Linked DNA regions of Lytechinus pictus. The protein of the gene in region 1 interacts with the protein of each later gene in a biochemical or structural test. Links are inferred from orthologs where the notes say so. Each region holds a gene or a part of one and is shown on either strand. Other genes may lie near its edges.

Evidence for each region.
Region 2: of the proteins of cell division cycle 7-related protein kinase-like (region 1) and claspin-like, one has a biochemical effect on the other in vitro, tested with the Homo sapiens proteins (3 studies listed by BioGRID, with this or other methods). The link is inferred for Lytechinus pictus from reciprocal best matches to the Homo sapiens genes CDC7 and CLSPN.

The regions. Positions count from the first base shown.
Region 1 is NC_087259.1:19,798,420-19,814,514, reverse strand, and holds the start of cell division cycle 7-related protein kinase-like, read left to right. Parts: upstream 1-8,586; 5' UTR 8,587-8,671; intron 8,672-11,570; 5' UTR 11,571-11,574; coding exon 11,575-11,743; intron 11,744-14,159; coding exon 14,160-14,246; intron 14,247-15,827; coding exon 15,828-15,963; intron 15,964-16,095. UniProt on the Homo sapiens protein: Kinase involved in initiation of DNA replication. Phosphorylates critical substrates that regulate the G1/S phase transition and initiation of DNA replication, such as MCM proteins and CLASPIN.
Region 2 is NC_087251.1:29,431,778-29,447,734, forward strand, and holds the start of claspin-like, read right to left. Parts: upstream 8,383-15,957; 5' UTR 8,169-8,382; coding exon 8,139-8,168; intron 6,303-8,138; coding exon 6,134-6,302; intron 4,738-6,133; coding exon 4,208-4,737; intron 3,763-4,207; coding exon 3,690-3,762; intron 3,290-3,689; coding exon 3,178-3,289; intron 1,261-3,177; coding exon 547-1,260; intron 1-546.

The DNA.
Region 1 (16,095 bases):
GATCCGCTTCTGATCTCACTAATAAAATATTGCGAGCGCGAAGCGCGAGCTGAAAATTTAGATAATTCAGACCTGAAGTGGGGCATTCTAAGGTTTCTTTGTGGGAATTAACTAGGACCATACGTATTTCAATATCCAAATGATGCGAGCGCGAAGCGCGAGCTGAAAATTTTTTATATTCAGATCAGAAGAAAGGACATTTTAAGGACTGATTTTAGGAATTCATGAAGAGCAGACATATCTCACCAATCCACTATAGCGAACGTAATCACGGGCAGTAAAATGTTTCATATATACGAAGACCTTAACATGGGGCAAACACTTTTTGAGTCATGAAAAAGAAGCATATGTCACTTCATAAAACAATGATAACTCAAGTGCTAGGAAATATATTTGGTTTATATTGACTTGAAAACGGGATGTTTCAGTACAACAGAATATTTATCTCGTTAACAGACAATGCAAGCACCAGGCCCTGGGCAAATTATGTTTCATGAAGTTATGATAAAAATGTTTCTTATGTAATGTAACATAACATAATTATAATATAACATTATAATGAATAATATTTTCTTCTTTCCCACTATACGCTTCTCTTCCTTTCTCCCTCTTTTCTCCTTTTCCCCTTTTCCCCGTTTTTTTTTGGTCAGCCGATGGGGGGGGGGGCACGTGCCCCCCATGTCCCCCCCCCCCGTAGTTACGCCACTGTATGTCCATATGGCAAATACCCCTCCAATATTATTATCTTTTTTACCTCATGATGGTTTAATGGTTTTATTAGAGATTACATTGACATTCCATCTTGATCCCTTCACATAGACCCCGACATTGATGAATTGGAAGAAACGGGAGTTTCTCTTCAATATGTTATAATAAGGACATAAGTATTTCGTTTGGAAATGGTGAACTGGCTCTTTATTTGCATTTTATGATTCAATAATATTGTTTTATTTGTTAAGCGGTATTTCAGGAAGAATTTTCACCAATAAAACAATTATCTCTTGTGATTTTTTTTTCATTTCTTTCGTAAAAAGTGGGGGGGGGGGGATGTTTGTACAGGCCATCCCCCCCTCCTCGAAAAGTGGGGGGATATATCCCCCCATCCCCCCCGGGATTTACGCCAGTGTCCCCATCATTGGCTTGCTTTTGGAATTATTTATCTTAATAGACTGCATTTAATATATCGATCACTTTTCAGCCAATAATGACAATGAAATAAAAATGATTAGTAAAAACGGAAACGTAAAGAAAATCCAATGAAAATTAAAAAGAAATCCTGACCAATTGTTTTTTTTTTATTATTATTATTCATTTTGTTTCTTTACCATGCAGATTTTTTTTGTGTAGGTCCCCAGGACCAAAATCCAATTGAAACCAGTTGGCCTTTCCAACTGGTTTCAATTGGTTTCAATTGGTTTCAACTGGTTTCAATTGGTTTTAACTGGAATATAACAATTTCCAATTGAAACCAATTGAAACCAGTTGGGCAACTGGAAATCCTAACTGGAACCAGTTGGGTAACTGGAAATGACTTCCAACTGGAAATGATTTCTAACTGGAACCAGTTGGGTAACTGGAAATCCTAACTGGAACCAGTTGGGTAACTGGAAATGACTTCTAACTGGAAATGATTTCTGACTGGAACCAGTTGGGTAACTGAAAATCCTAACTGGAACCAGTTGGGTAACTGGAAATGACTTCCAACTGGAAATGATTTCTAACTGGAACCAGTTAAGTAACTGGAAATCCTAACTGGAACCAGTTGGGTAACTGGAAATGACTTCTAACTGGAAATGATTTCTAACTGGAAGTCTGGAACCAGTTGGGTAACTGGAAATCCTAACTGGAACCAGTTGGGTAACTGGAAATGACTTCTAACTGGAAATGATTTCTAACTGGAACCAGTTGGGTAACTGGAAATCCTAACTGGAACCAGTTAGGTAACTGGAAATGACTTCCAACTGGAAATTATTTCTAACTGGAACCAGTTGGGTAACTGGAAATCCTAACTGGAACCAATTGGGTAAATGGAGATGACTTCTAACTGGAAAGGTGATTAACTGGAAATTAATTCTAATTGGATCCTGTTGGGTAACTGGAAATCCTAACTGGATCCAGTTGGGTAACTGGAAATGACTTCCAATTGGTATCCAATTGAAAATTTTCCAGTTACCCAACTGGTTCCAATTGAAACCAGTTAATTTGCATATTATCTGCCAGTGTGCACAGATTAATGTTTTATGTGATTCATCATCATTTAAAATGTATCTATTTAATTTTTTTCTAATTCAAGTACCATACTTGTTTCAGATAAGTGTTTAGAATGCTTAGCAGTGAAAACCATGTTCACAAATGTTATAGATTATAATTAAAACAGATTATAAGATAATCAGTACACCACTAACTGTTACCAAATTACATCAAATACAAATACATATATTTGAAGATCTTTCATATAAATTTTTATACATTAAGAATGTCTATTTTATCAATGCCCTTTACATTGGTATTAATAAACATATAGCACTGCTTCTTTGATGGCATGAGCAATATAGTTAGTGCAAATTCTAATTAATTTGTAACTAATTAAGTCATTCCAACTGGAATTTCCAATTGGATCCAGTTGGAAACCAATTAGTTTCAACTGGTTCCAGTTGAAACCAGTTGCCTCCAATTGGTTTCAACTGGAACCAATTGAAACCAGTTGCCTCCAATTGGATTCAACTGGTTTTAATAGGGAAATTGGAACAACTGGAACCAATTGAAACCAGTTGCCAACTGGTTGCTTAATTGGTTTCAACTGGAACCAATTGAAACCAATTGCCAACTGGTTCCAGTTGCCCAATTGGTTTTAACTGGAACCAGTTGGCAACTGGTTTCAATTGGTTCCAGTTGTTCCAATTTCCCTATTGAAACCAGTTGGCCAACTGGTTTCAATTGGTTTTGCTCTAATTGGTTTCAACTGGATTTTGGTCCTGGGTCCCCCAGGGGGGGGGCACTTCCATATCAACGAGTGGATAGTCGCGGGACCGGGTATCGAAAAGTACCCAAAACAGGTATTTTCCATGTTCTGAAAATGTACCCCTTAACAAGTATCGGGTGTGTGAAACTCTACCCTTTACAAGTATTGGAAACAACCGGTACGCTTGACAAGTATTTCCTTACTTTGTGACCCCCTAAACAAGTAAGCCTACAGCGAAAGTTATTTAACAGCCCCAGCAATCCTTTTTCTATATTATGAGTATTATGTACATTTGAGTTACAATTACATAGGAGAAGCAAACAAACAATTAACATACAATTATCATGATTATGAGTATAGGTTTCCCGGGACCACCTATATCTCCCACAGGACGTACCTAGTATAAGGACACAAACAGGTAGTAATAGTGTACGTATTTTCTTAATTACATGCAACACATGTTAAAGATTGTCACATATAAAATAATTATGAGTTTCTCCGTTAATTTCATAGAAAATAATTGATGATTTGCATATTTTCGTTTCCACAAGTAACTTTTCGTATGTACTATATATTCACATTGAGTAGCAATCACATTGATTTACCTGAATTTAAATAGTTGAAATGTAGGGGGACTGGCCGGGGGAGCCATGTTTTTTTAATTTTTTTAATTTCTTATAACTATTTGAATTTCCTCTATTGTAATGCTGATTGAAATCTAGATGAATTAACGTTATTTCCCTACATTGTACTCATATACCATCATCCTTTTTTCATGTATTCACTTATGATTATTTTGGATGTTCTGTTTGTTATTTCCTTATGTAATTTGTTTGTTTGTTATATTGTAAATAAGTACAAGATGCTGATGGGGCTATACCCTGTATAAATAAAACGAAATGAATAAATAAATGAATAAATAAATAAATAAGTAGTGCTGATGCAAAAAGTACATATCCCCCATATCCTTGGATTATTCAGTCGTTTTATACCCTCGCAAATTGGATCTTCAAAACGTAGCTTTCCTATAAAGAATACCCTTTTTTCATTATTTTACCGGTTTTGACACCCACGTTACGTATACAACGTGCATGCTCTATCTTGAAAAAGATCCCTTTTACGCGATTCTTTGGTCACGGCACGCGTGGTATCCACTCGTCAAAGGAAGTGGGGGCAGGTAGGTCCCATATCCTACCCGCCCCTGTTTCCCTAAACAATAATATTTTCCCGGCGAGTCTATTGTATGCGGCCCAGTGGATTATAGTTTCCGCGGACTAGCTTTGAAACAGAGGGTGGTGACTGATGGTTGGTTCAATCCTATATACGCCACGGTCATTACTTAATTCCTTCAGCAAGAAATTGATAAAATGCTGCGCACTCAACCCAGTTAATCTTTATGTTACTTTATATGACTTTTCAGTACAATCTTATTTGCCAAATTACGATTGAAATTGAAGCAGGAAACTCAAAAAGCTTTCGAGCATCAAAATCGGTAGCCAAACTTAGCCGGAGTATATTATAGGAGCGCCTGGAACTCATATAATAACAAATCAATTAAGGTAGGTATTTGCGGCTATACAAATACCATGTTTTATTATTATCATTATAGCTTCACCTGTTCTAGCCTGGGCGAATTGTATTTCGATACGACCCCCCCCCCCCCCCAATTAAAACATTAAAACACTTTAGGCAAATATGTTGGATTCACAATTGATGCGAGCGCGCAGCGCGCGAGCTGGATTTTTTTTGTATGCAGACAGTTTTTGCAATTATCTCGCTATAAGACAAATAATGAAGACGTATCGCTAGAATAATTTGAACATATTGCCATTTAAACACCTTGAGTAGGCCTGCGATGCGAACTCGAAGAGAGAATAAAACTTTTATAACATACAACTTTTTGTATTTTCCAACTATTCCATCCCCTTCGTTTATTCACCTTTCTTTCTTTTTTTCTCCTCTACTTCGATCATTTCTATTGTATTTGCCCTTTTCCTCTTTCTTTGCGCAAACATGATGAGGAGGGTCGCACGCCGTGTCGCCCCTTTGATCCGCCTATGATATGAAAGTGACTTGGGTACCTTGGATTGCTTGGATATAACTAGCTATTGTCATGATTGTGGTATTCCTACTCACACAAAATAGGTCCTGGAAATTTCTAAATTCACAACAGTATTTCCCTTTAAAAATGCGTTATGGTTTCCTTTGATTCATTATAACCATGAAAACGCTCTTATTTGTTTGATATCAAAGGTATAATGTTTAAAAACATTTTATGCATATGAAAGAGCGGGGAAGTAGAGGGTGCTGTAGCCTTATTCATGATTAATTGGATTTTCGATTTTCAAAAATGAAATACTTGGTCACTCTGAGAACATAAATGTCATAATGACTCTTTATTTATTAAACTCAACTTGAACATAATATATATAGAACAAAATAGTTTGGTCGGTGTCAAATCCAGTGCTACGAAGTCATCTTGTGTTAAGTAAGGTTGTTTAGAAGGAACTAATAGTGAAAAGAACCATATTGTATTTTTAAAGGAAAGATCGTTATTATATGAATTCAGAAATTTCCAGAAACTGTTTTGCGTGAGTATATAGGAAAATGCCGAAGTTCCAAGCAATCCAAGGTACTCGAATCACTTTCAAATCAAGGTATCAAGGTAGTATCAGATATTCAAAATGAAATCAACCAGCTATTTACAAACCACATGCTAAATGCTTTATTTTTATTAAATTTCATACAAAGTCAACATGGAAGTCCCATATGCAATTACATCATCGTTGCTTAGGGATCCGGCACAACGCAACATAACATGAGAACCATATTGCATGATGGATATTAATCAATAAACATTGGTACAAGTTGAATGGTATCGTCTGTGATTCGGAGTATCAATAAAGAACTAAAATGTTCAATTATCAGTTATCAGTAATCACTAATTGTGTCTTGATAAAAACATGCAAATACTTTTCTTTCATTAATTGATAAACCTTAAATACAGATACTTCATGTACTCTCATCCCCTAGGCTATTCTGTATTTATTTCACATGCACCACTTCCGTTTAGGGAGAAAATGATTATAGTCTCGACATCAAAGATTCCAAAGATTCTTTCTGTGTGTAAATATTTATTAATGGAAAATTTGAAGAGAACCTTTTTTTATTTTCACAAAGCACAGGCCTACAATATGTTTTAATTTATAATTTAATCTCCTCTCTTTAAAATGTATAGGTCAAGGTTGAACAATGGGACTGAAAATAATGAATGAAATTAGGAGAAACACAGACAATATACATGTACATTTTAAAAAGTGGTATATGCAAAATATAAAACGACTTATGAATTATTACATACTGATAAAAGCGTGAATTTTAATACAAAAATCTATATTGCATACTAAGCACGTGCGACGACAGACTTAACTAACATTTTTCACATGGCAAGAAAAAAATACTTTCTTAAAGTTTTGTTGTATCAAGTCAATCTGGAATCAAATATATATTAATTAACATGAATAATGTTTTGAATTATATTTTCATCTGTGAATACTAATGACTCTTCTATCACAGATCAAGGAAAAACATTAGATGAAATAAAAGGAACACATGAGAAATGGTAAAAGAAAAACGGGAAAAAATGGAAAAGAAATACATGACGAAAATGCAAATGGGGAACCATATAGCCGGGGGGGGGGCAGTCAAATGTATTGCTGTACACACGCGTGGCCAAATTATTTCCAAACACCCCATAAACGAGTTTTTCTCTGTGTGCAAAATAACACCCTAAACGCGGGATTTATTTACACATTTTGGCCCCTAAACAAGTTGTCGCCAGAATATGACCCCGTGGAAAAAGCTTGGGGGAAAAATACCCTAACAAGTTTTCTTTGAAATTATATGACACATTTTATACATGGAATAACACATTTAATAATGAATACCTTTTCTTTATATTATATAGCAACCTTGAACAAGCAAAGTATCCGAGTGAATTAAACATAAAGTAGCATTGGAATTCAATAAACTAATGGATTTATGGATCATCCCAAATAGCATGACTTCGCGTTTTCTTTTTTCCAATTTAGATTTTTCATACGCGAACACGGCTTGGGGGGGGGGGGGGCATTTAGGCCTATCTGTTCAGACATTTGATTTTCTTTTACTTCATTCAAACCTTTTTTTTACTTAAAAATAAGGTCTGAAGTACCGTGTGCAAAATATTATTTCAAGTCAGCATACAGTCACATACAATTGAATATTCATAATAACGATAACATTTTGAAATTTCACTTATTTTTCACAAAATAGTTATATGCACAATTTACCCACATGCATATGAGAGAATCGATGATGTCCCTCACACACTATTTCTTTTGTTTTTTATTGTTTGAATTATACAATATTTTCTTTTTACAGATTTGACAATAAGGACCAACTTAATTGACTGAACCATATAATGTTAAGCAATGGTAACTCCACATGTTCAGTGAGAACTAAAACTTTATTTCACAGGACAATGAGGAGAAAATTAGAATATTTCATATTTCAAATAATAAAATACAGAAGAAAAAGTGAGTGAGAGATGTCATCAGTTCCCTCATTTGCATACCGACCAGGATGTTCATATTATGTGAAATATTAAGTGAAACTTAAAAATGTCATAACTTTCTTATTTTAAATCCAATTTTGATGAAATTTTCAGTGTTATCCTCGTAGGATTTTTCTCTTTTTAATCAAATCAACTTTTTGTTGGGGTGGACTTGTCCTTTAAGAAGAAAAATATTCTTCAGACATTTTCTCCAATTTATGATTATGGATGGCTAGTCAAAGATTTATTTCTAAATCTTATTTACATTTATGACCCGGGATTTATGATGACTCTCGTTTTGGGGACCAGTTACGTTTCATCAACATTTTCGTTCAACAAGTTTTCAGATCTGAAAAATTTCCTTGATTTTGATTGGCTGAGAATCACTTTTACTATGGTAACTGTCGGATAAAATGGGAAGTTATCGGATAAATCGTCCGACAATTCAAGTCCTTTCATGAAACGCTCCCCTTAACGAGTAGTATGTTGAAAAAAAGACATCGAGCTAATTTAAGAAGAAAAAAACAAGGAGCTCTATTGTACGGGGAGCATATAGACCTACATGTAGTACAACATGTAACAAAATAGACCAACAGATTGGGAAGTGTTTTATGTGAAAAGGTTACACATATGAAATAAACACAAACAATAATGTGATTTGTAGGCCTAATCACTTTTTAATCATTTTGTAATTATTTGTAATTGACTTTGATTTATTTCAATTAAAAACAAAACATCTTATTTCAAAATTCCTTGGTCACTATAGAGATCATGTTGATATTGATATTACAAGTTTCCGAGTAGCGTATGCATTATTTTTTTTAAAGCGATGGGGGGTTCAAGCTGAATGAAATGTTGACAAGCAAAAAAAAAAGTCTTCAAAAAAAAGTGAATGGGGTTGGGTATAGAACAAAATTAAGGGGGGGGGGGTGTTAAACACCTGCGAACGCCACTGCAAGTTTCATTTGACTGGTTATACGAATGAAGTACCGGTAGCTATGAGCGCGCTGAGCTGGCACGCGCGGCGTTACTTCAGCTTCCGGTTTATCAGCGCGGGAAATTCGTTCGGTAGCATTTGGAGAGTCCATTGTGCAGTTTTTGGAAAACCGTCAAACGTAAGTTCAGACCGACCTTCTAAAAATTATAATTGTTTTGTCGTGGCATGTAGTAGTTTATCATTATATTGTTACATTTTTTAAACGGATCGGATCTTGCCACCAAATGAGATGCGAGATCGATGTGTCGACTATCCTTGTGCACTTTCGCATCCATGCGGAGTGTGAGCGGCCCCAGCGCAGCCGCCGTGCCCGCGAGCCCCGGGTTGTGTAGGAGGCCCCAACCTAATTTCTTTGAATGATGCGAAAGTGCACTAGCTTTCTGACTAACTAACGTTCTATTCTAAAATAGATCCATTGTAAATTGGTATGGAGTTGGGGTTTACCTGTGTAGGACTTACCCTCTTTTCAAGTCTAGACAGATGGCAGCCGTCTGTTTTGAGGAGTTTTTAAACATTTTGAATTTTTTTATTTCTCGTACTTTTTTTCGTAGTCCAATTTTGGGTCTGACATGCACTTAGAAAATGTTGCGTGATTTCGAAACCGTGTATCCGGGCATCAACAAATTTGGTCTCAGAAGATGTGCAAGGCTTGACAATAGATGTAGAAAATTATTGCGGTTGTGTGACGAAATTCATCAAGGCCAGGGGGGGGGTCAAATTGACCCCATCCCAAATTAAGTAAGGGTCGAATTTACATGTAACTAGAAAGACAGCATTTAGACCCTATTCATGTACATCTTTTTATTGTTAGAAATGAATTCCTTGTCCAAATTAACATAGAAATTAACACAAAATCATTAAAATAATTTATGCAGAAGCTGAGATATAAAAATTTGACGAAAATGGGTTGGGGTCAACAACCTTTTTGCCCCAAATCGTTATTTTTTTTGGGCGGTACCCCCTCAAGGTTCAACCGATTTTTCAGAAAAAGGTGTAAAAATGCTCAGGAGCACAAGCTGCATCTTTTGAGTTGGTCCTCTCTGTGATCTGAAACATCAACCCACCACTAATAATACATGACAAATGCTGATTTTCGAACCTATATGCCATCCTTTATGTACATTATTGCTCATATCTCAAACTATTGGAATGCCCATCACAAAACTTATGTAGAAGCTTCTTGACATCATAAGGTACCTGTGGGATGAATTTGAGGCAATTTGAAGGATACATTTTTTTTTAAATTCACAATTGAAGTTTATATTTTGTAATAACTGTTTTGTAGTTGGAGGTAGGAAAATGTTGCCCAGACAAATTTATAGGGCATGAAAATACCTTTAAAATGACACCAAAAACCAGCTCTCTAGGTGCTATACATGTACTTTTAGAGATTTGGCCATTTGAATTCGCGATGTTGTGCTAATTAGTCCAAAGTTTGTTAGCTTGTATCTCACTAATTGAGAGGCTGTTAGTGAAAATATTTGAGTTCTAGCCATTTTTCATGAGTCCCAATTGTTTCCCAAAGTTTTACAAAAATCTGAGAGATGACAGCAGATTATTTGATGATTTGACATGGAATGACCCATTTGCCCCATTGGGCATATTAAGTTCATAAGCTTCACGTCAGAAAAAAAGGGGAAAGTGTTGAATTTTACTACAGTAATGCCTTTCAAATTTAAATTAAGAAAAAAAAGTTAATAGGTACAGTACTACTACTTGCCTCTCTTATTCTCTAAAGTAGCAATGCTTTCAAAATTTTGATTTTGAGGTGCTGCTGGGTTTGTTCTCATCCTGGCCATGTGCACTGGGCTATGAGATGTTATCTATCCTCAAGATATGTGCCAAGGAATTGTCTCAAATACCATACAAACAGCAATCCCATTGATGCTGGTAAACTTGAGCAGTGAGCTAAAAACCAAATGGGGGCCTTATTCAGGGTGCTACACAACTAAAGAAGCGCTTGCCTGGTCGGGCAAGTAAATTTTCAAACAGTTGGATTCTTGCCCAAAATCTATTTTACTTGCCCGAAAAAATCCTTGGAAAAAAAAGTTTTACCTCTTCAAAAGAAAGTTTTGTGTTTTTATATTAAAACCATTGACCTTTTTCTCTCTTTTGACATGAACTGATCTACTTTGTTATTGCATTTCTTTTTCCAGAGTGATTTTATCTTGCCTGCCATGACCAAAATTAGAGTTTAAAAAAATCAGTCAATATCATATATCGACCCTAATTTTGGTCATTCTACTGTGAGAGTTTTGCTTTCTACTGTGAATTTTGCTTGCCCAATCCGGGCAAGTAGTTTTGGTCTTTACTTCAAAACACTTGCCCGACTCTAACTTTTACTTGCCCCGGGCAATCGGGCAAGTGCTTATGTAGCACCCTGCTTACATGTATTTACTCTGGGGCCTCAATCAACCCCACTCTCCCCTAAGTGAAGACTACTAGTGTTAGACCTACATGTACATGTACATGTATTCAACCTCAACATATCTCTTATTTTGATCAATAGATCTACATGTTAGTTGGTGCTGGGGGCCATTTCATAAAGCCGTTCGTAAGTTAAGAGTTTACTGTTTAAGAATGTCTGGTGATCATTTCTGGTAAATGATATTCATTATTAAATGTTCATTGGTGATTATTGAGCGCATAAGAAAGGTTCACCAGTTGTTCTTAAAGTCGCTCTTAACTTCCGAACAGCTTTACAAAACACCCACCAGGGGCCCGTTGCAGAAAGAGTTGCGATAAAACGCAACTAAAAAAATCTTGTGCAACTTGATTTTCAGCCAATGAGGCACCCGTATTCGGGACTTGCGCTTGATATTTTGACTTGCGTTTAAACGCAACTCTTTCTGCAACAGGCCCCTGGGGCTGATAAGGAGACTCTCTCTCTAATAATGGAAGACAATCTCTGGTATTGAAGCATGAAGTACATGTAGCAAAAATAAGATAAAACATGAAACAGCCAGGGTCATTGTGATAATATCCAGACTTTTTTTTCCTTGTGGCTTGTTTCACAGCACCATGCTCGGCCGGGAAAATAACTCCAGTTCCACCAGCGCCCTCGATGTTGTCATTGATGCAGGAGAGATTGAGGAGAAAGATTCTGATCTTCGTCCGATGACACCGACAGTTATGGTGACTTGCAAGAAACGGAAGAGATCGTCTTTCAAAGGCCCAATGAGAATGACTGGTAAGCAGTGCTGGCACAATGCAAACAAGTTTCAAGATGATTTGAAGCAAAATCTAATTTATAACATAAGACATAAAAAAATATATAATTATAGCATTTTCAATGTTCATCATAACACTGGTGGTAAGTTGGTGTTTGGATTTTTATGCATGTTTTTTTCTTAAATTTATTTTCAGGTTGTTATGAGTGTGTTTTTAAAAATATTTTTAAGGAGGGGGTGGGGGAGACTGTTATGGATATTACTGGTATATATTTCCATTCCAGTCATACAGTGTACATATAGGTTTAAATCAGCCTAATTTGTCAGTTGTCACTGAAGAGAACCTGATATATCATTGATCGCCTTGTTAATTTCTTGGATGATATTATATAGCCAGTGCAAAATATTTCAAGGATATGAATAATAGGAAAATATTTAAAAAAAAGAAGTGTGGTCTGAAATAATTCTTGATTATATGTGTACACAGATCTAAAGGGAGCCAAGAAGGCCCATTTCATAACAACTTACAATTATTGTAAATACAATAAATATTGACCCCTACGTATAGTCACTGTCCCAAATTCAAACACTTCTCTTCATCAATCTTCATATACCGGTATACCAAGGATGGCTCGGCTGTGGAATTCACTTCCCGCCAACACATTCCCTTTATAAAACATGGACAGATTAAAAAATAGTGTTAATACACATTCATTAACATGTAACTTGATGTAAAACCTTGTACTTTTACTTTAATTATGGTTTATTATGTGGCAGTCATGGGTCACTTTTCATCATTTTATGATGGCAACATCAGGCCCAAAGAACAATCTAAAAAAAACGGACAAAAATGGAAACTATGATTGTGAATGGTTGCTGAGCCATGTTAACATGGAAGTTGCCATATTTGTCAAAACTCTTCATGAAACAGGCCGCAGACCTGCCAACCATTACGTTTTTGGCGTATTTAGTACGTTTTGCAACCAAAATACGGCAGTACGTTTTTTCTTTAAAAAATATGTTTTTGTAAAAATATATATATATATATTTTTTTTTTTACAAAATCATAATTTATTGAGAAAAATTATCTCTATATGTCTCTATTTCATAAAACTTACACAAATATGGTTATTAGATCAATGTAATTTCAGGTAACTTGTTTTTTTGTCAATCATTTTGTTAAAACCAGGGTGAGATATACGCATGTTTAAATTTTTTTTTTCATCTGCAAGAGCAGTGCGCATTTTAGCTTGCATGCAGCTTGAGCGCCGCGATGAGCGACTGCGCCACGCATTTTATTATGAAATACACTTTTTTGGGGAAAAATACACTTTTTTATCATAGAATACAATTTTTTATTCCCAGAGGTTGGCAGGTCTGAGGCCAAGGAAGCCTAGCTGTGTTTCAGCTCAAGCATCCGAATTGTAGCATCTTTGTACATGTTGTTTATTAGCTTATATGGCGCGTATCATTCAGCAGTGAATAGCCAAATATTAAACGTTCATGTACTTAGCCTTTAGACAGGCAATACAGTATGTCTGTTATGTTTATATCAAATGCCTACTACAACTGAAAAAAGACTAATCGCGAAAGGCTGGATAATAATAGGGTATTTATATTGCGCACATATCCACCTTGTTAGTTGCTGAAGGCGCTCCTATATTACCCGGCTAAGCTAGGCGTTCATAGCGCACACAGCTTTTTAAGGAATTACTTCCTACCGGTACCCATTTACCTCACCTGGGTTGAGTGCAGCACATTGTGGATCAGTTTCTTGCTGAAGGAAATTACGCCATGGCTGGGATTCGAACCCACGACCCTCTGTTTCAAAGTCCGAAGACTAATCCACTGGGCCACAACGCTCCACATGAATGCGAGCTCTACCATAGGGCCTTTAGGAACTTGACTTGGATTTCTTATGTTAACCATTGTTTCTGACTCATGGTCGCGACCTAGACTAGAGGTATATATGCGGCCAATCAGCAAGTGTATCTTTCAGATCAATCAATCCTGTAACACAGAAGCGAACGTACCCGGTCCCATGACGTTTTCAGTGCCTACAGTGCTAATTGGCGCATTGATCAGTATGCTCATGGATAATTCATACATTCACATAGATCTACGCCAGAGTCCAAAAGGCCTTGCGACTGAAGTCGCTCAATCGCACATTCACCCATGTCTCTATTAAACTCTCTTCATTGACCGCTAGTCTCGTCTCAGCCACTGCATGACAATAAATATTGCCAAGTCACTGTGAGAAAGCTAATCTGACCAATACAGGTGTGTATTTTGCCATCTTGTTCATATTTAAATATTATAGACATAATTAATTCAATGAATGGAAATATGAATATAATTTAAATGCCTTGAAGTGCTTTATAATGTAGCTGAACCAGAACATGTAATTGAAGTATCTCTTTTTATTTCATATTGTAGAGAAAGTCCGGGAAGACATCCGCTCCATGCTGAAGGCTGTTCCTAAGATTGATGAGTTGTTCACGGTGGTTGATAAAATAGGAGAAGGTAAGCATATATTCCCAGAGATTTTTTTTATTTTTATGTTTATTTATTGAATCATGCAGTACTTAATATGAACCAGAATGAGTCAGGAAAATAATACAGAAAGTGCTCAGGGGAAAACTCACTAATTTGAGGTACATGCACATCTGATCCCCCCCCCCCCACTATTTTGTTTAGGACTACATGTACATACATGTATGTCTCTGTAAGGTTTGGGAGATTGAAAAAAAGATTGCAATCTCAGGACTATCTTATTAGGATTTAGTGCTTGAAATTCATGGTTATAGTTATATCACCTATTCATGTGCCAGTTCAATATCAATTAATATAACAGAGTCAACAACCTTGTTTATTATTTAGTATTATTCACAGGATAAATATTTGTTGCACTGAGGACTTTGGGGGTTTTTGTCTTGATATTTTATCCATTGAAGCATGAGGGTGTCAGGAATTACAAACAAGAAAAAAATCACACTCTTTTTCTACTACAGGGAGTTGATGAGTTTATTTGATTTTTTCCCCCATCATTTTGTATATGTCTCTATAATGTTTGTGAGATTGACAAAACAAACTGTGATCTCCTTTCTCATTAGAAGTTAGTGCTTTAAATTCATGCCAACATCTCCTGTTTAATGTATCAGTCCATTATCAATGAATATAACAGAGTCGACAGCTCATAAACTTAATAGATTAACAAACTTTTGTTGTAATGTCTAACAAATCTGTAGAGATAATGGCAACGGTAAAAATGAAGGCAAAAATACTGAATATATTTTGCAAATCATTATATTGAAATAATTAAAAGATAATCATGGCATGGTGTAGACATGGAAATATGCAAACTTCTCTCCATGATCATTATGTAGCCTTTAGACTTGCAAACAATAGCAAAGACATGCAGGTACATGAATCCTCAACATTGATCATTGCTTATCTTGGAAAGCATGTACGGATTGGACTGTGGACTTAAATATTCATGTCCGTACTTTCAACGAAATGCTTGAGAATATGACATTGAGTTGATAAAGAAGTGATTGTCAGATAGTTCGGTATGGTTCACTGGGCTAAGTGACAGGTGGTCATAACTGTTAAAAGGGTGGGGGAGGGGCTCACTTGCTCATAAAAGATTCCCATTTGTTTTATTTCATTTCTATTACACAAATGTAGCTGTAAAGTGATATTAAAGAGGCTCCTTAGAAAGAAGTGTCCATGTATTGAAATGCTGTATGTTTTATTCCTGCAAGTGAATAGAATTCATTCGCATAACTTGCCAATTTTATCATTCAATAATAAATTGCCATCCCTATAGGTGTGTAGTAGCACATGGTCAGTATATGGTAAAGACTAATTTACAGAGTTTTGTGTTAAAACTTTTCCCTAGAAACTGGGAACTTTGGGGACAGAAAAAAAATGGGGGTGGTACCAAAACGTTATGCTAAAATTGATACATAGCATTTTGCATTTCATATTAGATTCAATAAAATTTACTTTTACACAGGAAGACAGGAATGGGGAGCATTATGAGGGAGTGTTGTAAGTCATCCAATGGAAAACTGGAGTTTCTTATTCCCATTCTTTTTGCAGGTACTTTCAGTTCTGTGTATCGAGCCACTTTGAAGAAGGCTGCTGACACTTCACAGGAGTTTGCTCTGAAGCACATCATCCCAACAAGCCACCCTGATCGTATCCTCAGCGAACTCAGCTGCTTGGTCAAAATAGGGTATGCCATTACAATTAAACTTAACAGATTTATTTTTCTTCGCACGTAGAAAGTTCAGATCCAGTGGCTACGGGAATGGTTTGATTGGACAAAGCTTAGGAGGGCTGAGCCTTTGTATGTAAACAATGGCTT
Region 2 (15,957 bases), on another chromosome or scaffold:
AACTCGCATATATAATGAGCTGTGACCTTTGACCTGCAGACTCCAAATTCGAACTTCACCTGTATTTTGGTGTCATCTACCTACACACCCAAATTTTTAAAGATCTGTTGAATATTTCATAAGTTATCATGCGGAAACCAACTCGCATATCTAATGAGCTGTGACCTTTGACCTGCGGACTCTGAATTCGAACTTAGCCTGTATTGCGCGGAAACCAAGCGGGGGGACGGACGGACGTAAGGATAGAGGGACAGTGGCAACGCTTAATGCCCCCTCCGGACTTCGTCTGTGGGGGCACAAAAAGTACTAATTAGGAATAATAATCAAAGGGAAAAGATTCTACCAAAATAAGCAATTCAAATATAGCTGTTTCTCCTTGATATTTACTTTCTCTCTCTAATCCTATAAAACTTACATGTACCTAATCAGAAAAAAAAAATTATGTAGCTAATTACATTGGTGAGATAATAGTTGACCATTTATACTAAAATTGCATCGCAGGGATAATGAAAGTATTAGAAATCACATAATGAAAAATGTACTTACTTGACTTGAACATCTTTCTGATGTGTCTTCTTGACATGTTTTGTATGCTTCACAAAGCGCTTCATCAGCTTGAAGATGCCCTTCTCTTCTGCTGAAGGCTCCTTCCCTTCATCCAAATCAATGGTAATCTTAGGTCCACCACTAAGCTTTGGTTGTGCCCCTTTTAATCTGTTCAGGGATTCCTGGAGGCGTTGCAACCGCCTTGCCTGTGAAGACTGAGGGTCGGGCTGAGTTGAGGTAGTAGGAGGTGGAGTCTTGAATAATGGCGTCTGGATTTCTTTTGGTGATTGCTGTGATGTCTCAGGCAAGCCTTGTTCTTCTTTGGGCGATTCATTATTTGATGGTTTTGTTGGCGAAAGCTCTTTTGTATTTGAGTCTGATGATACTGGAGAAGTAACCGATTTCCCATCAACTACTGGAGTGTTACAGCTACTTTCTGCTTCTGCATCTTGCATCAATGTATCATTGGTTGCCTCTGGCTCAGTTTCCACTGCATTATCAGTATCAACCTTATCAGTTTCACCTGCTTTGGCTTCTGCCGTAGTCTCCATGGAAGAGCTCTCAGAACTCTCTTCACAATGGAGTTTGTTTTCAGTATTATCTTGCACTTGTGATGTTAAAAGATCCGGAAGGTCATCAATTTCTTCTGTGTGAACTTTTTTTACTGTACTTTCTTCCTCTGTTGAGGTGTTCAATAACTCTTTCCCACGAATTCTGTTCAATATCAAATAAAGCATTGCAATCATAAAACACTTGGTGCAATAAATGTTGGTCAAAATGTGACTGCCATATTCAAAACCTCATATATATACCTTAACATTTGGGTTCATTCAATTCATGAGCAAATTCACTTTAAAATCAACACAGACATTCTACCAAAATTTGACAACACAGTTTAAAACTTTAGGGGCAGATTAAAAAACTTATTAAAATCTTAACATTTAGGTATGTTATGATATTGCAAATCTAACCACAATTCTTAAAGAATGTTATTTTTTCTAAAAAATCAAGAAAAAATATTTCACATTTCACCTCCAACTGGTGGCTTCATCACTGTGTCGTTGATGGCGAGATGCCACTAACGGTACCGTGCGAGAATGGGATTATATACATCTATAGGCCTACATATCTTTATTTTGCACTCTTCCTCTCCCTCTTACATTTATCTCTTTATTCCCTTTTCTCTGCACCCACCCCCCTCACTCTCTCTCTCTCATCATCCTTCCTCGACTCTGTTTTGCACATTAAGTTTAACCACATGCTTTGCTCTCGAAGCATCATACATGTAAGTCATCATTAACCTGAAGATCAGGGGAGTATATCATCTACACTTTCATCTAACAAGTTGTCAGACTTTTCTTAATTCTGTTTGGGTGAGAATTACTTTTAATATGGTACGGGTAACTGTTGGATAAAACGTCAGACAAGTCCTTTCATGAAATGCTCTCCAGAAGCCCTACATCAGGGGTTCTCAAACTTTTTCTTTGAAGGGCCAGATGAGACTCCTTGTAAACCTGAAAGGGCCAGGGTGAAGTGGATACTTAGAAAAGAATGTGCACGAAGCTCAAAAACCCTTGCAGTCAGGGTCCTAGATGCTCTCTTGTGCAATCTGGCCCTTATTTTGAGAGCATCTAATCCAACAAATTTATAACAGTTTCATATGGAACGCAGGTAAAATTAGAAAAGATTTCAAAATACAGCGAGATTCAATATAAATGATAACAAAATTGTAGTTCTTTGTTAAAAGGAATCTAGATTGTATCTATACATACCTGGTATTGGGGTCACAGATAATGTCTTGAAGTATCAATATTTTTTGGTAGTCAAAGTAGAAGGAATAATAGAGCATGTCTTTTGTAGACTAACAAGGATAGTCTCCTAGTCACTTTCAATATGGGGAAAGTGACAGTCTGTCAGCAACAAGTTGCTTGAACCTTGGCACAAAAGGTGTAATTGCCAGACGAAGGCACTGGTGCAAATGTTCACTGGTCAAGCAGGGGCGGGGGGGGGGGGGGGGGGGGGGGCAGCCCCCCACTTTTTTCCAAAACCATGTACAAAAACGTAAAAATTACCATATGATTGTGATTTTTTGCATGGCCAACCCCCCCCCCCCCCACTTTGAAAACCGTTCCGCGGCCCTAGCCTGTCAAGGTATGAGTTAGTTCTTTATAATGTTCATTCAACATGGTTCATTCAACATGGTGAGAACAGCGCTGGTCAACTAATAAGTAGATCGAACAGACAGAAAAGACTCCACTAAACTTTTTGACTGCCATTATACGGTTAGGTCTACATTGATACACAATGTAATCATATTGAGCTATGTTTCATAGTGTGACTTAAAAGGGATTAAAAAACCCAGAGTCTCGCGGGCCGGATTGAGAAGTTCCGTGGGCCGGATCCGGCCCGAGGGCCGTAGTTAGAGAACCCCTGCCCTACATGAACAAATTATTGATAATAAAGTTTGCGTGATGGAGTGTTATTTACATTTTGTTCTGTTATTTTACATTATTTGATTTATCTAAGATTTTTTATCTCAAATACTGAGAGTATAAGAAAATATTTCCTTGCTTTAGGGCAGATCTAGATATCAAAATAGACCATAAAACAGGAAGATTAATAACCACATACCTTGGGACTCTACATCCAGTGGGTTTCAATGAAGTAAGACTTGGCTTCTTGTTGAACAATTCATCCAAGCTCAGAGGTTTGGGGTGATGATATGGAATCTGTATTGTAGACTCTGTGTAAAAATCAATACCGGTATATCAAATACTTTGTTATTCGAGGGTCCAGTTTTTATAAATCTTCTGTTATCAACAACATTAGAATTATGGTATTGAAAACTCCTCGATTGGTTGGATTTGATCAGCTGTTGGCAAATTGGTCATGAATGAGTTTGCATTTGTTATTGATAACAAGCTCTATGAAACAGAACACTTCGCTTATCATTGATAAACAAATTCTATAATTCCATGGTAAGTTTGCTCTCTGCCAATAAAAAGGCAGAATTCAGAAGATTATCACAGTAGCTATTATCTGCAATTGACAGTTTTATGAAACATTGGAATGATAACCAATAAGCTTAAACTTGACATTTTGACTGGATTGGAAAGTTAATTAGTGGTGATATATGAACTTACCTCTGACAATTCTTTGAGATTCACTATGGATCTGCTGTAGTTCATCCTTGCCGATTCGTTTCCTCCTCATAGACTGAAATCAAAACAATTAAAATGTATAATTATCAACTGTGTATCATGCAACATATATCTAAGTGTATCGAGAATAGAATATTGAGATATGTAACAAATTTAAGAATCTGACCAAAACACCATTGCTATGTATTTAGAGTGAATGTAAATATTAAGACATTTATAATGTGATTCCACTTCAAAAAATTGTGCCACCATTATAAGCTAAGATTGTGAAAGTGATTTCATTTTTTAATGTTTCTTCCAAATCCCAATATCCATTTCTATATTTGGCTAGATCTATACATTTGAAACCGAGACGTAAAATCTCGAAACATAATATTGTAATTAGAAATAGAATGTTACAATATTAATTATAATACTACATAACTATTATACCATAATACTACATAACATGCCTATTGCAACCACCTCTGGTGGGTGGAGCCTTGAGATAAAAACCTTACCCTCTTATCCCCATTAGACTCTTCTTCTGGATCTTGAGGCGGTGGTGTTAATTGGAAAGCAATTTCTCCTTCCTCATCCTCGTCACTACTGCTATCATCACTGCTTCCTATAGTCCTTCCGCTTTTCTTTCTTTCTTTCTGCGTTTTTTGTTCACCATCATCATCAGAGTCATCGTTACTGCTATCACTTCCTTCATCGCTTTCACCACTGCTTTGTACATGCCTTCGAATCTTCTTCTTTTCTTTTGGTTTATCATCATCACTGCTCAGACCATCACTATCGTCGCTACTCCCTACAGAGCGACGAATATTCTTTTTTCGTTTGGGTTTATCCTCTTCATCATCATCACTCTGGCTATCGTTCTCATCACTACTTTGTACTCGTCTACGAATCTTCTTCTTTTCTTTGCGCTTGTCATTGTCCGATTCATTATCACTGTCATCTTGTTGTCTACCCTCCATTTGATCAGCATCTGCTTCCTGATCACTTGCTTCACTTTCTTCTTTTTCACTGTCAGACCCTAAATCTCCTGCAAAACAATCAGAACAGCACAAATAGTTATTACTTCCAGTGGAAGTGCTGATTAAAGATACAGAAGTTTGCGTTAGTCTTTCGTGTATAATCATTGTTAAATAACCTCCTTTTGGGACCTTAACCCTAAAAGGACTGGGCTATTTGAGACGTATTGAGGGCTGGGGGGGGCCATGATGGCCACCCTTCTGATCTCGGCCGCCTTTTGCGCGATCGCGCAGAAATTTGGCACGCACATTCTTTACTGCATAAACTACAAGCCAGTATAAAAGAAAAATTCTGAAAATAATTATTTTTATCTATTATGAATAAAATATGTAAATTTATTCGTGAAAACCATTATTTGCATATTTAACACCCAATTTCACTTCAAATTTTCTTTTTTTTCCAGATGTCATCTTTGTAAACAAAGTTAAAGGTTTCCACAAAGAAAAATTGCAAAAGCCAATTTTTTCCATATGTATTTCTTTGTTTTTGGAATTTCTTATGTATTTCTTTGTTTTTTCATCTTTTTTTCATTGTTTTTTTCAATGGAAATTATTACACACAATTTAACAACTAAATTAATAAGGCAGACCAATTAGAATGAAAAATAATCACCCTTTTATGAATTTCATCTCCCATAGACTTTGTACACAAAGTATAAAAATGAGCCATTTTCGGCCTGACATTGTCTCGTAACCCGTAGGACGCGAATTTGGTCTCAAAAGGTGCGCGAGACTTCAACAAAAAAAGTCATAAAACATTGCAGCGCTACCTTTTTGCATTTCAGAAATATTGCGCGAAGCATCAAGGGAGGGGCCATCATGGCCCCCCAGTCCTTTTAGGGTTAAATAGTAGGAAAGTCTCATTTTTCTGTATAGACACAAAATTTGAAGTATCCCTGAATAAATTAATACTACAAAATAATGTTCAAAACAACTGTTTTGTAATGTTGCATTTTGTATTGATTTAATATCAGAAAATGTAACTTTTATCTTTAATAATCTAACTTAAAAGCCTTATGGTCATGATCTTAAAATGAGTTAGAACAGAATAAAAAAATGGCCACCCAAGTATGTAATGTGAAAATCAAGGGCTAAAGGATTCTTGTAAGAATGCATAATTGCTGAGAAATGTGCCTCGGAATAGTTTACTAGATAGATGGTGCATAATAAATGCTGTGTTTATTATCAAATGAACAAAATAAGCATGTTACCACAAGTACATGTACATAGTGTGCAGGCATTTGTATCACTATGTTTAGTTCGTAGAACTAGATGTATGACGGTACACTTAAAATAAACCTTGGAATGTAGAGACTTTCTCATCAAAATACCGGTGTTGTTTAGCTGCAACTGTGCTTGTTTTAACTTTAACCAAGTTCATGTAGCCAAATGGGTTCAAGCATTTACCTTGATCTAAAATACTTGGTATTCTCTCTTCATCTTCATCATCACTCAGGATAAGCCGATGAGTTTTAGTGGGTCCCTTCTGTCTGGCTTTCATTCTGACTATCTCCTCCTCATCACTTTCATCATCATCTGCATCAAACAGGTCAGAGTTTATCAGAGGGTCTGGTGCCTACATCAGAAGATAGATAGGAATGAGAAAATTTCAAATCCTTCTGCTTAGTTCTCTGAAATATCACAAGACATGGACATGACATTGATTGCTATGTCTATGCACATCCAGTGTTCACCATGGAATCTTGTGTTAAGTAGACAAGAATGTCTAGCTTGTGTAGAGTATGGTCTTCACTCTTGTATTGATAAATAATAAATAAACTATGTACCTGTCTTGTGGTCAGGTTTCCTCATTTCTTCTACAAAGTAATGATTACAGTATCACTAAAAAATATTGCCTTTGAAATAAAACCAATGGAATATTGTGCTTCAATCATGCAAGATCATAATTTAACACTCCAAATATGTGAACAAAGTCTACTCCAAGTTTTGGTAAAGCCTCCCACTGTAGTATTTAAATTCATTACTTTATTGTGTGAATCATGATGTAAATGATATGAAGTTTGTGATTTTACATGAAAATTGATTTGTGTCTTTTCAGAACTGGAACACACTAAAATCCAAACTTTGAGCTTCTGAGAGCTGAACTATAGCTCAGTCGGTAGAGCGGGGGTTTCGGATTCCGGTGACCTGGGTTCGCACCGGCCAAGTGGTGCGCTAGTGCCCTTTGGTAAGGCATTTATCCTCATTACCAGGTCCCTCGGAGAGGACCTTAAGCCGTTGGTCCCCTGGTTGCTTGCTCACAGGTTTTCGACGTGCTTTCTTAGCAGTCAGGTAAAAAACCTCGGTATAATTTGTGTCTCAGTCTGAGTTCTGATTTTTACGGCCTACTAAAATTTATTCTCAACATACATGTAGCAAAAGTAAAATTTAGATCTAACTTCATAGATCTAACGTTGATATATAAAATCTTGAGTTTGGCAAAATATATATAGGCCTATATACCGTATATATAATATATCAGCGATCGCGAACACGCACCGCCACCTAGCCTGGAGGCGTCTGGGGAGTAAAAGTCATCTTACTCTACGTAGGCTTACTCCCCACTGACGCCTGGGACACCAAGGTATATTCACGCACGTACGGAAACAAAACCTGAAACTTTCGCCCCCGAGATTTCTACTTTCCCTCTAAAAGATCTAGCCCTAAAACATGTAGGGTTCAACTTCATTTCTGCGATATCGATTTTGTTTTTAAAGAAGAATTCATTAAAAAAACGAGAAAAATGTTATGAAAAGATGGGAAGAGCTTACGGCCGTGTTTACATCGCCATCTTGATTTCTTTGTCTTCCGCTTGGCGACAGCACGCAAATCGTGCTGTCGCCAAGCGGAAGACAAAGATTTAGAAATCAAGATGGTGACGTAAACACGGCCAGCGTTAGCTCTTCCCATCTTTTCATAACATTTTTCTCATTTTTTTAATGAATTTTTCTTAAAAAACGAAATCGATATCGCAGAAATGTTGGAAATGAATTGAACTTTGAAGTTGAACCCCATGTACATCTACAGTACATGTTTTAACAGTTAGGCCTTAGGGCTAACGTTAGATCTTTAATTAGGCTAGAGGGAAAGTAGAAATCTCGGTGGCGAAAGTTTCAGGTTTTGTGGCCGTACATGCGTGAATATACCTTGGTGTCCCAGGCGTCAGTGGGGAGTAAGCCTACGTAGAGTAGATGACTTTTACTCCCCAGAGGCCAGACGCCTCCAGGCTACCGCCACCGGTTAATGCAGCTCAGCCCAAACACACTCTGCACTGCGCCTGGCATGAACACTCGTACACAGCTCAGGCCCGCCCGCCTCGAAACGAACGGGGACGGTACGGCACACAACAACAGCAGCTTTCGCTAGCCTAAAGCCCTGCAGCCACAAATTTTTTCAACGCCTTTTCACTCACCCGTATTGGAGCTGATTCTACACCGAGCATGGCGAGTTTGTTGAGTAGATTAGCTTGAAGAATAACCTTTTTAAGCTTAAGGAATTCCAATGACTTTAACTGCAGTAGAAATATTGAAAAAGGAAAATGTCACGCAGTCGGATGGGTTTTTGTCGTACAATTTATTTCATGTTTTCGCGCTCCATATCTGAATTCTGCGCGCGCAATATTTACGGTAGTCTTGATTCAATTACGGTATGACAGTGTGACGTGGATGAGTATTATATTACTCAAGCAAAAACAAAAAACCCCAAAACGGGCAAAAAAAAACTTGAAATGAAATATTACCGGTATTTATTGTAATAAAAAAAATTGCCTTATTTTATTTCTTACCTAAATGATTTGTATATTTGGGTTGTTTCATCTATCAAAATTAAAAAGAATTGAATCATTACGAACGTTACGCTAATCTCGACCATAAAAGTCTGAATGAACAGTCAGTCCGCAAGCCCTGAAAAAGTGGTAGGCACTTATGATCCAAGTTTGAAAGGAGACTCGTAAAATGACGTCAGTCTCGCCGATGAATATTCATTAGATCGTGGTCGTGCGTGTTCAATACACACTGCGTGCAGGCATGCAGATAGTTATATGCGAGGAACTTTGGCTCCAGAGACAAGTTGTCAAATAACGTGTGTGTGTGTGCGTGTGTGTACCATCGGCTGGTAGTATGCCATGCTGTCTAAGACTTCAAACGCGTCGGAGAGAGTGCATGGCAATTCGGTAAAACGAAGTTTCCGATACAAAGAGATAATAAAATAACACTATGTACAGTACGCCCGGGGGTGCCACTTACATTGACGAGTGGATACCATGCGCGACCAAAAAAAACACGTAAAAAGGATGTCTTTTTCAAGAGAGGGCACGTTACGTACGTAACGTGATAAGGGTGTCAAAAACACAAAAATATTGAAAAAAGGGTATCTATTTCCAGTATACGTTGAGAGGCAAATGTCAGATCAGGGGAGGCAGGAGTACAATCAGGTTTTTTTTAAGGGAAGAATAGTGTAGAATAAAAGGTATTATATATACCCAAATGATCTAGGTGAGGGAAGTGAACAATGATGTTTTTTTAAAAAAAGAATGAATATACCTTACCTGAATATATATTATGGTGAAGCCAATTTAAAAGGAGGTGAGACAAGTTTCAATGGAGGTTTTTAAAAAGAATAAACTGTATTATGGTGAAGCCAGTTTAAAAGGAGGTGAGGCAAGTTTTAATGGAGGTTTTTAAAAAGAATAAACTGTATTATGGTGAAGCCAATTTAAAAGGAGGTGAGGCAAGTTTCAATGGAGGTTTTTAAAAAGAATAAACTGTACTACAAATTATGGTGAAGCCAATTTAAAAGGAGGTGAGGCAAGTTTCAATTGAGGTTTTTAAAAAGAATAAACTGTACTACAAATTTAAAAGGAGGCGAGCTAGCAACGTTTCAATGGAGGTTTTTAAAAAAGAATAAACTGTACTACAATTATGGTGAAGCCAATTCAAAAGGAGGTGAGGCAAGTTTCAATGGAGGTTTTAAAAAAGAATAAACTGTACTACAAATTATGCATGAAGCCAATTTAAAAGGAGGTGAGGCAAGTTTCAATGGAGGTTTTTAAAAAAGAATAAACTGTACTACAAATTATGGTGAAGCCAATTCAAAAGGAGGTGAGGCTAGTTTCAATGGAGGTTTAAAAAAATATACTGTATTATGGTGAAGCCAATTTAAAAGGAGGTGAGGCAATTAGTTTCAATTGAGGTTTTTTAAAAGAATAAACGTACTGTACTACAAATTTGAAAGGAGGTGAGGCAAGTTTCAATGGAGGTTTTTAAAAAGAATAAACTGTATTACAAGTTATGGTGAAGCCAATTTAAAAGGAGGTGAGGCAAGCCTCAATGGAGGTTTTTGAAAAGAATAAACTGTATTACAAGTTATGGTGAAGCCAATTTAAAAGGAGGTGAGACAAGTTTCAATGGAGGTTTTAAAAAAGAATAAACTGTATTATGGTGAAGCCAATTTAAAAGGAGGTGAGGCAAGTTTCAATTGAGGTTTTTAAAAAGAATAAACTGTATTATGGTGAAGCCAGTTTAAAAGGAGGTGAGGCAAGTTTTAATGGAGGTTTTTAAAAAGAATAAACTGTATTATGGTGAAGCCAGTTTAAAAGGAGGTGAGGCAAGTTTCAATGGAGGTTTTTAAAAAGAATAAACTGTATTATGGTGAAGCCAGTTTAAAAGGAGGTGAGGCAAGTTTCAATGGAGGTTTTTTAAAAGAATAAACTGTACTACAAATTTAAAAGGAGGCGACGCAAGTTTCAATAGAGGTTTTTAAAAAGAATAAACTGTACTACAAATTATGGTGAAGCCAATTTAAAAGGAGGTGAGGCAAGTTTTAATGGAGGTTTTAAAAAAAGAATAAACTGTACTACAAATTATGCATAAAGCCAATTTAAAAGGAGGTGAGGCTAGTTTCAATGGAGGTTTAAAAAAATATACTGTATTATGGTGAAGCCAATTTAAAAGGAGGTGAGGCAAGTTTCAATTGAGGTTTTTTAAAAGAATAAACTGTACTACAAATTTGAAAGGAGGTGAGGCAAGTTTCAATGGAGGTTTTTAAAAAGAATAAACTGTATTACAAGTTATGGTGAAGCCAATTTAAAAGAAGTGAGGCAAGCCTCAATGGAGGTTTTTGAAAAGAATAAACTGTATTACAAGTTATGGTGAAGCCAATTTAAAAGGAGGTGAGACAAGTTTCAATGGAGGTTTTAAAAAAGAATAAACTGTATTATGGTGAAGCCAATTTAAAAGGAGGTGAGGCAAGTTTCAATTGAGGTTTTTAAAAAGAATAAACTGTATTATGGTGAAGCCAGTTTAAAAGGAGGTGAGGCAAGTTTTAATGGAGGTTTTTAAAAAGAATAAACTGTATTATGGTGAAGCCAGTTTAAAAGCTAGAGGTGAGGCAAGTTTCAATGGAGGTTTTTTTAAAGAATAAACTGTACTACAAATTTAAAAGGAGGCGACGCAAGTTTCAATAGAGGTTTTTAAAAAGAATAAACTGTACTACAAATTATGGTGAAGCCAATTTAAAAGGAGGTGAGGCAAGTTTTAATGGAGGTTTTTAAAAAGAACAAGTGGAATGCCTCTGGCCGTCTCACCTGCATCACGCGATTCAATATAGCAGCAGTGCTGATTTTGAAAACTACTATAACTCGCACAAGATGTTCAGTGATACTTGGTTACTCTTATTTCCACGTTTTATGAACTAGACCAATACACTTATAGAGATATGATGGCAATTCAACAAATACCCCCAACGTGGCCAAAGTTCTTTGACCTTACATGACCTTTGACCTTGATCAAGTGACCTGAAACTCGCACAGGATGTTCAGTGATACTTGATTACTATTATGTCCAAGTTTTATGAACTAGACCAACACACTTTCAAATTTATGGCTGTAATTCAACAAATACCCCAATTTGGCCAAAGTTCATTGACCCTAAATGACCTTTGACCTTGATCATGTGACCTGAAACTTGCACAGGATGTTCAGTAATACTTGATTACTATTATGTCCAAGTTTCATGAATCAGATCCATAAACTTTCAAAGTTATGATGGTAATTCAACAGATACCCCCAATTCGGCCAAAGTTCATTGACCCTAAATGACCTTTGACCTTGGTCATGTGACGTGAAACTCATGCAGGATGTTCAGTGATACTTGATTAACCTTATGTATAAGTTTCATGAACTAGGTCCATATATTTTCTAAGTTATGATGACATTTCAAAAACTTAACCTTAGGTTAAGATTTTGATGTTGATTCCCCCAACATGGTCTAAGTTCATTGACCCTAAATGACCTTTGACCTTGGTCATGTGACATGAAACTCAGGCAGGATGTTCAGTAATACTTGACTAACCTTATGGCCGAGTTTCATGAACTAGGTCCATACACTTTCTAAGTTATGCTGTCATTTCAAAAACTTAACCTCAGGTTAAGATTTGGTGTTGACGCCGCCGCCGCCGCCGCCGTCGCCGCCGCCGTCGCCGTCGGAAAAGCGGCGCCTATAGTCTCACTCTGCTATGCAGGTGAGACAATAAACTGTACTAAGAATTATGGTGAAGCCAATTTAAAAGGAAGTGAGGCAAGTTTCAATGGAGGTTTTTAAAAAGAATAAACTGTATTATGGTGAAGCCAATTTAAAAGGAGGTGAGACAAGTTTCAATGGAGGTTTTAAAAAAGAATAAACTGTATTATGGTGAAGCCAATTTAAAAGGAGGTGAGGCAAGTTTCAATGGAGGTTTTAAAAAATAAACTGTATTATGGTGAAGCCAATTTAAAAGGAGGTGAGGCAAGTTTCAATTGAGGTTTTTTAAAAGAATAAACTGTACTACAAATTTGAAAGGAGGTGAGGCAAGTTTCAATGGACGTTTTTAAAAAGAATAAACTGTACTACAAATTTAAAAGGAGGCGAGGCAAGTTTCAATGGAGGTTTTTAAAAAATAATAAACTGTACTACAAATTATGGTGAAGCCAATTTAAAAGGAGGTGAGGCAAGTTTCAATTGAGGTTTTTAAAAAGAATAAACTGTATTATGGTGAAGCCAGTTTAAAAGGAGGTGAGGCAAGTTTTAATGGAGGTTTTTAAAAAGAATAAACTGTATTATGGTGAAGCCAGTTTAAAAGGAGGTGAGGCAAGTTTCAATGGAGGTTTTTTTAAATTACCTCTTGTGTGAGTGAAGATTTTTAGTCAAATTTCTATTGTCAGCAAGGTCATGTTAAAAATGTAAATATATAATATATTCTTGGTCTAGCAAAGGCAGTGCCATAAATTCTGACTGCATGTAGTTGAGAATCCATCTAGTTAGTCATAAAACATCAACGGCTAATTGTATCCATTCAACTAATTAGGGTTTCTTATTCCTACGATACTTGCTAATGTTAAATCATGGAGAATCACCTGTGTAAATAATGATACATTGTTTGTTAGCATTAATCGGCATTGAGGCTGATAAATTTCTTTGATAACTATTTGATGCAAGATTATATGACCTTTGTGTTTTATTCAGTATTTTTAGACTGTCTCATATCATTTTGAACATAATTTGCGACCATTTTTGCTGCCCACTCAACAGTCTTTGTAGATGTTTGTGCAAAAACTTGATTAGAATGCATGCCGTTATCACACAGTACTTGCTAACTTTTATTATCTTTTATCATGATCCTAGGCCTGCCAGTACTGAAAATAAACGTATTTTAAACTGTATTATAGCGTATATTTTTATTTACTCAAGCTGCAGTTGCTTTCCATGATCATGAATTGGTTTTATAATACTTGCTGTTAACTAATATAATTGTCACTTGTTTTTTCTAACAGCGAGAATATATTGCTATATGTGTCCAGCCACCCCAATACCAACAATAAATACATTGATTTAAAGATTCTCATTGATCTTGAGCGATCACATCCTAAGCTGTAAAATGATTTATCTTGTTAATATTGATCAATAATATCCCTCGCTAGTACTTCATTGAATGCAGAAGAAGTTTGGTGAGAGCTTCAACAAATAAGAGAACAAGATTTGGGGTTCACTTAAGCATGCGATGTGTAATATGTAGTTCAACTACTTAGCAGTGAGCAAAACACGGATATCAAAGTCTTGTATTTTGTCTTCAACTTTTACAACCTCACATTTTGACAGTATGAAGAAATTTCTTTTTTTTTTCGGATAAACCAATATTCTAAATATGCGTTTGGAAAACTGAATTACTATTTTGTTTATTTTCTACGAACCTTCCCTGGCAACTTATTGTTGATATTTGGGTGGCTGGCCACATTTGTTTTGAGAAAAAATATCAAAGAGTATATGAAAAAAAGATTTATGTAAAAAAGCTTGCCTAGCTGTTGGTATTTTCTTCTATTGTACTTTGTCATGTAACTCTGGTAGATTTCATTTCGTTACACAAAATGGGGTTCAGTATTCAGAAAAACCATTAACCTTGCCTCAACCACAACAGTACTTGCCAAACTGAATAAATCAACATTATATCAAGCTGTGTAGAAGAACTTAATGATCATGTAGATACCATTAAGTGCATACATATATAATGTCTTTCAAGCTGTATGACAAAAATATTCTTTTCCATCCAACATCAGCTTCTACTATTTTTTAAGGTTAGTTTTTATTGTCATGTTGGCAAATTGTGAAATAGTTCATGTTGAAATATGTTGTATTACCTGTCATGCATTTGTAATGTTATTTTTTTAGAATATATTCTGTCATCATTTTCAGTACATAAAAGTTTATTCAATGTATGCCTTTACCAAAGTTGGCCATAAGCACAGTGGGTACCAACTATCACTGAAGACAACACAACAATTACTCAAAATATATGCATAGCCTTATGAATGTACAAGTCAATAAAATCTACTATGACTACATAGCTTTTTTTTGTGCAACACAGTCATATTTCATTTGGATCAATTCAAAATTGAGTGGTGTTTTGGGGGTAATGCTATGGTAACTGCAGTTCTGTTGTCCTCTGACAGTTGGTGTTGTAAGGATGTGATTGGCAGTGTGTGGACGTCATGTTATAAGAGAAAAAAGAAAGTTAAAGTGAGAGTGTTGGCTTTGAAATGGACTCAACCTATGAAAGTTAAAGTTTGTGCTGCAGAAACTGGTGTGGTAGTGGGATGATAATGATGATGAGGAACAGGGCCGGTATTCAATGCTACTCTTAAAGCCACAATTTCAAGTATATTTTACTCAGTATTTTGCAAAAGTAAAATACTTATCCATCTTTGGTATTCAATTGCATTTTTTTTTGGCTAAATATTTTGCTTAAATGTAAGTCAGCCATCTACTAGACTTAAGTCTACATATACAAAAATGATACGCACAGAAATACATTCACACATTTGGCACTATTTGGCTCAAAATTTATAACATCACAATGGGTATTTAATAGTATTTAGTTCAATTTGGATAAGGTAAATTCTGAGATCTGATCTGCATACAAGTTTAAGCATTTTGATAAGCCAGCCAAATTGCTAAGTAAAATACTTACAAAATCAAAACTTAGAATTTAATAGGCGGCCGAGGTATTATTTTCTTCCAGAGGACATGTACAGATTTCTTGTTGACAAAGGATGACATGATGATTATTTTGCAAATATGGCTTATTAAAAAATATATTATGTATATTCCATTTCAGTGACAATTGCATTTTTGGGGAGGGGATATTACGTATTTGGGAATGGAAAAGTTCAAAATTAATGCAAACTTAACCTATTTACGCAGGGGGGGGGGCTCTGAGCTCTGCGATTTAAAAAAAAAAGTCTTTTGCATGTTTTGAGACCAGTTTTGCGAAGCCCGGGTACTGGGTTCTGAAAATTACCAAACAATTTGTAAGTGCATATCAGACAAAAATGGCTCAAAATTGTGATATTTGTGTACCACGTCAATGGAATATGCGTTTTCAACCAAAATTCATGAATGCCTAATTGTTTTTAGTTTTGTTGAACTAAACTGATTTATTTCATGCTGTTACGAGAGTCTGAGCATCGTTGAAAAAAAACAATGCAATACAAAGGTAAAAACACAAGAAATACATTATCGAAGAACACCACAAAGAGTTTCTAAACCAAAAATTAGAACATTTGGAGCTTTATTTAGGGAGTTAGAGGAATAGGTATAGTATACTAATTATGCACAAATGAGCATAATCAATTAATAGCAATTTGCATGAAATAAATAACTACACAATTTTGTGGATTATTAAAAGCAATTGCGATCTTTTTC